Danio rerio: one gene and its partners. The protein of the gene in region 2 binds, or shares a complex with, the protein of the main gene of each other region. Links are inferred from orthologs where the notes say so. Each region holds a gene or a part of one and is shown on either strand. Other genes may lie near its edges.

Region 1 (3,664 bases), on a different chromosome or scaffold from region 2:
ATTAGAATATAAACAGAAGTCAGAATTATTAGCCCCCCTTTTATTTTTTTCCCTAATTTCTTTATAACGGAGAAAAGATGTTTTTAACACATTTCTAAACATAATAGTTTTAATAATTCATTTCTAATAACTGATTTTTTTTTATCTTTGCCATGATGACAGTGAATAATATTTTACTACATATTTTCAAGACACTTCTATACAGCTTAAAGTGGCATTTAAATGCTTAACTAGGTTAATTAGGTTGACTAGGCAGGTTAGGGTAATTAGGCAAGTTATTGAATAATGATGGTTTGTTCTGTAGACTATTGAAAAAAATATACAGCTCAAAGGGGCTAATAATTTTGTCCTTAAATTGGTGTTTAAAAAATTAAAAACTGCTTTTATTCTAGCCGAAATAAAACAAATCAGACTTTCTCCTGAAGAAAAAAATATTATCAGACATACTTTAAAAATGTCTTTGCTCTGTTAAACATAATTTGGGAAATATTTAAAAAAAAAAAGAACAAAACAAAAAAATCAATGGTGGGCTAATAAATCTGTCTTCAACTTTATATATGATGACTAAAGAAGTGCTCTCTCACTCTCACAGACTGTAAGCACAGCGGGTCTGGCGCAGGTGGACCGGGAGAAGATCTACCAGTGGATCAATGAGTTGTCCAGTCCAGAAACACGAGAGAACGCCCTGCTGGAGCTCAGCAAGAAGAGAGAGTCTGTGACTGACCTGGCCCCAATGCTCTGGCACTCCTGCGGGACCATAGCAGCTCTACTGCAGGTCTGCTTCAGTTTCTTTCATTCTAGACACAATTCTTTTTGATTTAAAGAAATATTAATTGAATTGAATAATTGTGTAATTATTATTATTATTTTACATATAAATAAATATTAAGTGGCATAACTGTATGTTTTTTTAATATATATCTGGTTAATTAATTCATTATGCAATTAATAATACAATAAGTAAAAATTAATTACAAAATTATTTTAGGTAATATTAAGAGGGATTTGTAAATGTAGGTTTTTTTGTTCAATGTTTTTATTCAATGTACACAATTTTGATTAATCTTTTTGATGAAAATGACATTTAAAATGAATTTTAAAGCAATAAATTGACAAACAATTGTTTAGTAAAACATGAATTATTTCAGATATTTGAAAAATTATGGAATGGAGTGATAATAACTGTATAAGTTACAAATATGTCCCTTTTTGAAAGAATTTTAATAAAATTTAGGGTTTAAGTAGTTTTTTTTTCTGCACTTTGAAAATTAAAACTTTTTGTAAACGCTCTTTTCTGACATTTGACACTAAAGTAGTTCTTCAGATATTCAGATACTATTAGAATTTATATTGAATAGTAATAAATAACAATAATAGCAAAGGCTTTTATTGTAATCAAAACAAGTTCAAAGTTTGAATTCATTTGAGAAGGTAGAAAAAAATAGAGCAAAGTTAACTAAATTGAGATTAATAATTAATTTTTTTTTTTTTTACAGGAAATTGTTAACATCTACCCATCCATAAACCCCCCGACACTGACGGCACATCAGTCTAATCGAGTGTGTAATGCCTTAGCACTGCTGCAGTGTGTGGCGTCACATGTAGAGACACGGTAACACACTTCTTATAGACACAGAAAACGACACGCTCTCTTTAATGATTCGCCACATTGACTGATCCTCCGATTTCTTTCTCGTCCTCAGTTCTGCTTTTCTGGCAGCTCACATCCCTTTATTTCTCTACCCGTTCCTGCACACGGTCAGTAAAACCAGGCCCTTCGAGTACCTTCGGCTCACCAGTCTGGGCGTCATCGGTAAGAAAAAATATATATAAGTAAGATTGAACTGAAATGTTATCATTGTTTGGAAGAGCTATAAAAATATTGTGTGTATATATACAGTGCTCAGCATAAATGAGTACAGCCCATTTTAAAAATGAATATTTTTATCCATTTCTCAGTGAATATTGGTAATATATATTAGTGCATTTGAACAAAACAGATTTATTGTACAGATATGTTTTATCAAAATAATATTTTAGTCACATAACATCTTTAGAAATGGAAAGATTACTTATAAATTCATGCAAAATATTGCAAAAAAAAAACATAACAAACTAGAACATTTCAACAAAATTGTATATATTTTGTATATTAATTTGTATAATATTTTCTAACATATAAATTTGGGCTACTAATTTCTGAACCATTATTGTAAGTTTCACTTTATTAGATTAGCTCCAGATTTGGATTCAGTACTCACTAATCTAATGTATATGCACAAATGTAATATTGTAAAGCTTCCTATAGAAAATATTCATTTAAATGAGAGATTTGTTTGGGGTATATATGCTGAGCACTGGATATATAATATTATGTAAATTGCCAAATACTTTAATATTTGGTAAAAACATAAAATAAAAAAATATGAAATACATATAATAAACTATATGTAATATAATTAAGATAAAAGTAGTAAAAACAGTATTTTGCATTAGGCGATACAAAAATACAATTAAGCAGTTTGAATTATATTTTCAATATGGAAGGGCATTTGTATCTATATATTGATTTTTTTTATTTTGTTTAGTGGTTTTGCAGTTTCAATTTGTGACATTTCTGTATCTATATTTAAGTTTTTGGATGAAAATGAAAGTAAGACTGAACTGAAATGTATTCATCTTATAGGAGCATTAGTGAAAATGGTGAAAATACTTTTTATACATACAAATTTAATATATTTATATAATGACGTAAATTTGCCAAAAAATTAATATGAATTTTCCATTCGTTAAAAAATATATATACTTTGTAGCAGACGAAACAAAAATACAATTAGTGCAATCAGTTTGAGTAAATTTTTGAATGTGTATGTTTTATTTAGTACATTTGATTTTTTTCAATTTAAATATATTTCATTATTCGATTTTTGATGAATATGCTAAAAAATTAAATAAATAAGTAAAACAGATTTACTTTCATATATGAATTTACCATTCACAAGTAATAAAAAAGGTATATTTAAAAAAAAGTTTTATCAATGCATCATATTTTTGTTTTATTGAATATGTCAGGTGATTAGTAACCACGTTATTGACCTAGTTTTTTATTCATTAATTGATTTATTTAGTATATTTGATTTGCATTTACTTTTATAAATGTGTTTCTTCTAAATCCTGTATTGAATAATTTTTTGGGATGTAATTGTGTAAGCCTGATAAATAAGCCAGAGATGCGTTTGTCTTATAGGCGCACTGGTGAAAACAGACGAGCAGGAAGTCATCAACTTTCTGTTAACCACAGAAATAATTCCTCTCTGTCTGCGCATAATGGAGTCCGGCAGCGAGCTCTCCAAAACGGTAATCTCATTACATGACATAACTTGACAAGTTATGAGTGTACGTGCATTATTCAGATGCATTTGATGTGTATTTCCTCTTTTCTTCCTTCAGGTGGCCACGTTTATCCTGCAGAAGATCCTCTTGGATGATACGGGGCTTGCCTACATCTGCCAGACCTACGAACGCTTTTCACATGTAGCCATGATACTGGTAATTAACTATTAATGTTCAGGAGTATTATTAACATGTTAGACATATTCATTTTTGGGTTCTGAAATCATTTGTCTTTTCGTTATAAGCCATGAAATGTGTGTGCGCGATTATT
Region 2 (3,764 bases):
TTTTCTCTCTTTCACCACTTTTTCCTTAACAGCCTCCTCTTTCTTCTCCTTTTTCCTACAAAAGGAGTTTTGGTTATTCTTCTTTGAATAGTTTCAAAGTTTGTCAAGTGTCTCAACATTTACAAGTTTAAACTGAACTCACTTTGTAGCAGCGTAGGACCTGGCAGACTGTTGCCGGTGTGCAGTCAGTGAGTTGCAGGAGACAGAAGGAGCTCTATTTGTGAACAACAGACTCTGACATCTGGGTAATACTGTTAAGACACACAATTATTGTAGAAATAAGATAACTGGCTTAAAGGACATATCAATGATCGTTTTTAACTAACCAGTCACCTTAAGACACTGCCATCAGTTACTTAAATAATATTTTTTAATGCTTCTTATGTAGATTGATAAAAAACCCGTATTAAATTAGATTATTTTAATTTTAAATATCAACTCTAACTTACTAGTAATGTAGTTACAAAGAGCAACTTAAGCAAAAATATAAATACACAAATTGGCAGATGGCTGTTTTTTGTCTATAAGTCCTATTTGATATTTCAATCGTGTGAGTATAGTTTATGCTTTATACAGACAGACTTAATTCATAAAAGCACGACTATAAGAGATCGTAATCCATTTGATAGCTTTTATACATAAACGACGCAACAATGTATTTTATTCGTAGGCTGAAAAAAATAAGCACAGATTCCACGTGTTAATAACGTGGGAAAATACACTGACATTAAGAGATTATAAGTAAAATTCTTTGCAATGATTAAAACTGACCTCTTAAAACACTCCTCGCGGGGGCAGCCATGTTGATAAATTTGTGTGTTACACTTAAATTTCCCGTCTGAAACCCTGAACCTCTGTTTAATCGTTCCAACTCAGAAATATCAATAAGATGGTTTAGTAAAAAAAAAATTCAAGTTAGAAAAATGTTATGTTTAGTTTAAACTATATAACTTGTTTAAACTAAGTATTTGAGCAACCTTGCATGAAATATCTTAAAGTTGCGCGTTAAATATAGAAACTGCAAAAATGTACAATTTGTGGTCATTTAATTAATAAATACAAATATTTCGTGTGTTTTAGTAAGCGTACAAAGAAAACTTAAATCACAAGAGCAGTGTTCACAACCACTAGAGAATTTCATGAATCTTTTAAGTCGGATCTTTTCAATGACTCGATTGAACCATTGAACCGAACTTAACGAGTCACCAAATACACTGAACCGACCACCAGCTTTCAGGACTGTCCGATAGCAAAATAAAAAAATGTTTAAGGCAAACTCAGAGCCTACGACTTGAATAGGATATTGGCGATTACTAAATTAATAGCCTTTTATTATGTGTAAAAATGTATATCTAGGAGAATATGAAAAATAAATATATAGTCTATGCATAGTAAATATATAGTGTTTTCAAATCACATTATAGAAAGGTGTATTATAGTGTACATATTATAGTATTTACAACTCAAGGTAATCTTGTTTTTTATATTTTAAAGAAAATAATATCAATATATAATCAAATATGTTTATTGAACTGTTCGTTCGAAAGAACCGATTCGTCAAAATGAGTCGACCACCTATCCCTAGTTGTAGGGGAGCGTGGACCGGAGCGGAAGCTCAGACTGTTGTCCTTCCTCCTGCCCGACTCTCAGGATGAGGATCGGTCACAGTTTGTCTGTATGTCTCTGATTAAATCACACACCAGCAGCTCCTCTCCCACCTCCCGAATGCAGGTAAGAACTGACCAACTGCATTTCGGAGTGGTGTTTTGCGTTGCTTATATCGTTGAGTGTCAAAAACGCCTGACGTCTCCAGCTCTGCCTTCTGAAGATCAGCTGAGACAATAATGTGTGTGAACTGTAACTTAATAAACACGAGAGAACAGTGTTTCAACCTACTGCGCGCCTCATCGTTTGTGCTGATTTACACATGACCGTATTTGGAGATGCCGAGGACCGTCTGAGCTGGAGCGGGTGACATGGCCAGACCTGCTCCTGCTTGTCATGTTCTGCTTGTCAGCTCAGCTCGCCAGCTAAACTTATTTCATCTAAATCACCCATGTTTAAGAGATCAAAACTTTTTGCCTTCACTGCGCAGGCAAGAACAGCTAATAATAGCCTTACATAACAAAGCCCGCTATTTGAGTAGCTGACAACTGTGGTGACTCGCTGTAATGCGAAACACGCCACGACACTTCGAGGACGAGTTTTAACAGCACGTGCAAGAAGGTAAAGTTCAGACATTGTGTTTGTTTTATTCATAGAAGTTACTTAGTAACTTTAAATGAGGGTTACGTAAAGCCTCAGCTGCCAGGGCTCATTTGCATATTACACACCACAATGTTCAGCCTGACAACTTTTATGAACACTTCGGTTTAGTGACAGTTGCAGATAGCAGAATTTACAAAAACACACCCAACAGTGAACAGAAAACATAAGTGCACACGTAATACACAATAAATGTAGTACACATTACTGTATCAGATTTTATTATTTCATAACTGCTGAAACTTTTATCACAATAGTATAAAGATGGTATAGCCATAACATACAAAAGGATTAGACCACTTTAGCAGGTGTAATAAATGATAAAAAGTTGTGTATTGCTCTAACAGGACCTATATTATTAAAGTAAAAAAGGTCAGCTTTACATTATGGTCTCATTATTAAGTGGTAATAATGCATTAATTACAATCAAGATTTAAAATTCCTAAAATTAAAATTGATTTAAAAAATCTAAAATTAATAGTTACTAAACATTAATGTATCAAAATCATCTAAGATTAATAAATGCCTTAAAATTAGTTTTCATCATCAGTTTGGTTTCATTAACTAATGTTAACAGATGAAGCCTTATTATGAATGTACAGCAACAGGCCTATAAAAAATCAGAACATTTTCAATCAATATCTCGGATGTAATTATTTAAAAATAAATGCCTTCTTAAGTCTTCAAACATTTGGTGTGTTGTGATGAAGCAAATGCCAATACACGGATCTCAAAACGCTTGAGAGTAAGTCAGAGGTTAAATAATAAATTATTATTCTGTATTTTGACTTGTCAATATCATGCATGCTGGTTATATCAATATATTAAATCACACATGTCTACTGTACAGCAGTGGTTCTCAAAGTGGGGGTCGCGAGACAATGAATGGGGGTCGTCTGGTGATTTTCAAGTCTATTTATCGTTACTAAACAATAAGAATTACCATATTTTATCTACAACCTACTGAAAAGAAAAAAATAGGCGTTTATAGTTACTATATAGTACTGTAAATAGTTACTATCTTAGTTTATAGTTCTATTGGATCGCGACCCCTGGTGTAATTACATTATATTAAAGACACAGCAATGGCGTCAGATGCAGCAGATTAATTTTATAGCACCAGGTTAAACTTTCTGCCACATTTACAGCACTGTCATACATAAAAAATGCAACAAAGAATAGACTTGGGTCTATTGGTGTGTGTGCACCATTGCATGCAAGGTTTCTGTATTGATAACCACCTCAGAAGATATTGGGGGTCGCGAGTCACTGGCATTGTTATTTTGGGGGTCTCATTATTGCTGTGCATTACTGTAGTCTAGTGACTGATACAAAATGAAACAATATGAAATGACAGCTAGTTCAAAGTTAATTTTAAATGAAATCACCCTGAAGTTCTGCATGTAAGAAAACATTGACGAGCAGAAGTAGGATATGTTCTACCCAGACGGCTTAGAGAGTTGGCAGTATGTTCTGGTCTGTATGTAACAGCTGCAACC
Region 3 (3,267 bases), on a different chromosome or scaffold from region 2:
AAGTTTTTTTTTACTTATTTCTAAACACAATAGTTTTGATATCTCATGTCTAATTACTGATTTGTTTTATCTTTGCTGTGATGACAGTGCATAACATTTTACTAGATGTTTTTTAGAATACAAGCATTCAGATTAAAGTGCAGTTCAAAGGCTTAATCAGAGTAATGAGACAAGTCATTGTATAACAGTAGATTCTTCTGCAGACAATCAAACATATATTGCTTAAGGGGGCTAATAATATTGACCTTAAAATGGGTTTCAAAATATTTAAACCTGCTTTTTTTCAAGCTAAAATAAAAAAATAAGCCTTTCTCCATAAGAAAAAAAATATTAGAGGAAATACTGTTAAAATTCCTTGCTCTGTTTAACATAATTTGGGAAATAGTTATTTAAAAAAACTAAATTCCCAGGAGCGCTAATAATTTTCACTTCAACTGATAATCGTTTAAAATAATCGTGATTATGATTTTTTTCAAAATCGAGCAGCCCTACCATGAGATACGTGATCCGTTACACCACAAATATATATATATATATAAAATAAATAATGTATATCCTGTAAATGTGGCTGAAATTCCACCAATCATTCTCAGAGATGTTCTGAAGAGCTGCTTTGAAACGTTGTTTATTGAGAAAATATACACAAATGAAATGGAGTTACTGAGCGCCGTTAATAAAGGATTCAGCTCAGACACTCTCAGAGTTACTGAAAGCCATATTCCCAAATACTGAATCTGCAGAGTTTTGGTTGAGCGAATATGAAAACGCTGAGTCAGTGATGAGCCATGACTACAGGAGTCGTCATCATCATACCTCAGTCATCAGTGAATGCTCGTCTTCATGGAGATTTAGCACAGTCAGGCTGTTTCTGCACGACTCCTGCACATAAATAAAAAGCATAAAGCAGATCAGTTCAGCGGTGTGTGTGTTCAGGAAGCGCTCCATCATTTGCTGGTCTTGCCCTCGGCCGGCGTCTCTCCGTTGTCGAGTGTCTTGAGGAGCCGGAACAGCCCTGCGGCCTCACGGATGCGGCTGAACTCGATGCAGAAGGCCTGAACCTCGATGAACAGATCCTGAACGTTGATGATCTTATTGCGGATCAGAGACTGCAGGAACACACAGACCAGACGCACCAGACGGTTCTGCAGGACACACAAGCACAACAATATTCAGACACGCGCACACACACATACTCATATACATGCACACATATGCACACATATACATATGCACACACACACATACACTACTGGTCTAAAGTTTGGCATTTATTTAATCAATAATACAGAACAGATGGTAAAATAGTGAAATGTTATTGCATAATAAAATAAAGAAGTGCTCAACAGTGGTTTATCATTTAATTTAATCATATATTCCAGTGATTTAATGATGATTTTTTAGCTAGTCTTCAGAGTCACATGATCCTTCACAAGTCACTCTGATATTAATCATTATTACTGTTATTATTATAATATTATTATTATTATTATTATTAGGGGTGTAACGATTTATCGTTGTACGATTTATTGCGATGCAAAAATGTCTCGATATGCATGGTGGCGTTATGACGATTAGATTACGATATGACGTCCGTTTTCTCTTATTAGTTGAGCTGTTTGCACGTGAGCTACGTTCCACCTGCTGTCGCACGTGAGTTCAGATTGCAGCAGCAGTAATGTTAGCAGACCAAGATGAGTGGAGTTGAAATAGAGGATGGCCCATCCTCTCAAAATCAGACGTCTGGCAACATTTCGGTTGTACAGTCATTGCTTTAGACTCGTCCGCTTTTTGACACGCATACTGGGTCAAACATCCTAAGTTTTAAAGTCTTCACAGTGATTTACATACTTTGCACAGCGACAGGGATACCTCCTAATGGTGTTGAAAGAGTCACATACTGTATTTATAAGGTACAATTCACCCTAAAATATCATTCTGTCTTCATATAATGTTCCCGCCGCAAAATCACACATGACGTGAGCTGACCGTGAGTTACTACAGAGGGCGGACTGATAGACGCGCGCGTATGGCAAGCAGTTTTAGCATTTAAACCTTTGTTCTGACTATCCATAAATATATTTAGAGATATCTCTAATTATATTTTGACTAGTCATAATTATAATTCGACTAGTCAGAATGACAATTAGAGATATCTGCAATTACAATTGTACTAGTACGAAATCAGATTGGAGATATCTGCAAATATATTATGACTAGTCATATTCCTCCATTGAAAAATATTTTCAGATATCTCTAAATGAGTTTTGATTAGTCACAATTGTAATTAGAGATATCTCTAAATGAATTTAATTAAATATGAATTAATACCTGGAAATGTGGATTTTCATTGCACACACAAAAAACGAAAGTGACCAAGTAAAGCCTTAAGCTCTTACTGTTAAATTCAATTGAATAGAAAGCTTATTTTTTTTGCACCTTTACTTAAATTGTTCCTTAATTTTGTCTCTGTCATTTCAATAATATTTTTTAAGAAGTTTTTTAATTGTTTTATTTTCCAGAGACAGGCCTGTTTCATTTATTTTCTTAAAGAAGGTTCAGTTTAACAAGTTGAAACAAAAGAAATACATAAAAATAGTTTACTTGGTAAAATTTGCATTTCAGTTTAATTTTCAATTTTTATTCCAAATATCGTGATACATATCGAATCGTGAACATTATATCGTGATACATATCGAATCGTGAACATTATATTGTGATACACATCGTATCGTGAGCTGAGTGTATCGTTACACCCCTAATTATTATTATTAATGGTAATAGTAATAAATGCAATAATGAATGGGGTAATAATTTCATTTGAAACTACATACAGTAAGAAAGCAGTTATTTAAAATTGTAATAAGTATTTAACAATTTAACATTTTGTTTACGTGTACGTGATGAACAGAATCATTATTATTTAAATTAATAATCAATAATAATCAACAATTAATCAATCAAATCAATAATAATTTTAGAACAGTGGTTCTCAAACTGTGGTACGTGTGGTACGCAGGCTTTCTTCTAGTGGTACGCGGAGGAATGAAATATGTCATGTACATGCTACACACATTACAAAATTGATCAAAAATGATGTATATATTATGCCATGTATGACATATAGCCTATATTTCTGAGGTAATCTGCCACGTTTTTTAACTGTGCAGAGTTGTAGCTGCTTTACTGTACCTACTGCGCTACTGTATTTCAATGCTGCTCATTTTGGTGGTACTTGGAGAGACAATTGTTTTCTGAGGTGGTACTTGA

What was found.
Region 1: cnot6l (region 2) and cnot9 share a complex: the UniProt entries of both Homo sapiens proteins name them as parts of the CCR4-NOT complex. The link is inferred for Danio rerio from reciprocal best matches to the Homo sapiens genes CNOT6L and CNOT9.
Region 3: cnot6l (region 2) and cnot11 share a complex: the UniProt entries of both Homo sapiens proteins name them as parts of the CCR4-NOT complex. The link is inferred for Danio rerio from reciprocal best matches to the Homo sapiens genes CNOT6L and CNOT11.

What each region holds. Positions count from the first base shown.
Region 1 is NC_133197.1:12,450,058-12,453,721, reverse strand, and holds part of cnot9 (CCR4-NOT transcription complex subunit 9), read left to right. Parts: intron 1-592; coding exon 593-775; intron 776-1,496; coding exon 1,497-1,612; intron 1,613-1,703; coding exon 1,704-1,813; intron 1,814-3,247; coding exon 3,248-3,357; intron 3,358-3,450; coding exon 3,451-3,549; intron 3,550-3,664. UniProt on the Homo sapiens protein: Component of the CCR4-NOT complex which is one of the major cellular mRNA deadenylases and is linked to various cellular processes including bulk mRNA degradation, miRNA-mediated repression, translational repression during translational initiation and general transcription regulation.
Region 2 is NC_133180.1:39,727,006-39,730,769, reverse strand, and holds the start of cnot6l (CCR4-NOT transcription complex subunit 6-like), read left to right. Parts: upstream 1-1,617; 5' UTR 1,618-2,226; intron 2,227-3,764. Other genes in the region: mrpl1 (large ribosomal subunit protein uL1m), read right to left, coding at 1-55, 143-251, 772-802. UniProt on the Homo sapiens protein: Has 3'-5' poly(A) exoribonuclease activity for synthetic poly(A) RNA substrate.
Region 3 is NC_133184.1:58,597,329-58,600,595, reverse strand, and holds the end of cnot11 (CCR4-NOT transcription complex subunit 11), read right to left. Parts: intron 2,995-3,267; coding exon of another isoform or gene 2,950-2,994; exon of another isoform or gene 1,496-2,949; intron 1,143-1,495; coding exon 945-1,142; 3' UTR 610-944; downstream 1-609. UniProt on the Homo sapiens protein: Component of the CCR4-NOT complex which is one of the major cellular mRNA deadenylases and is linked to various cellular processes including bulk mRNA degradation, miRNA-mediated repression, translational repression during translational initiation and general transcription regulation.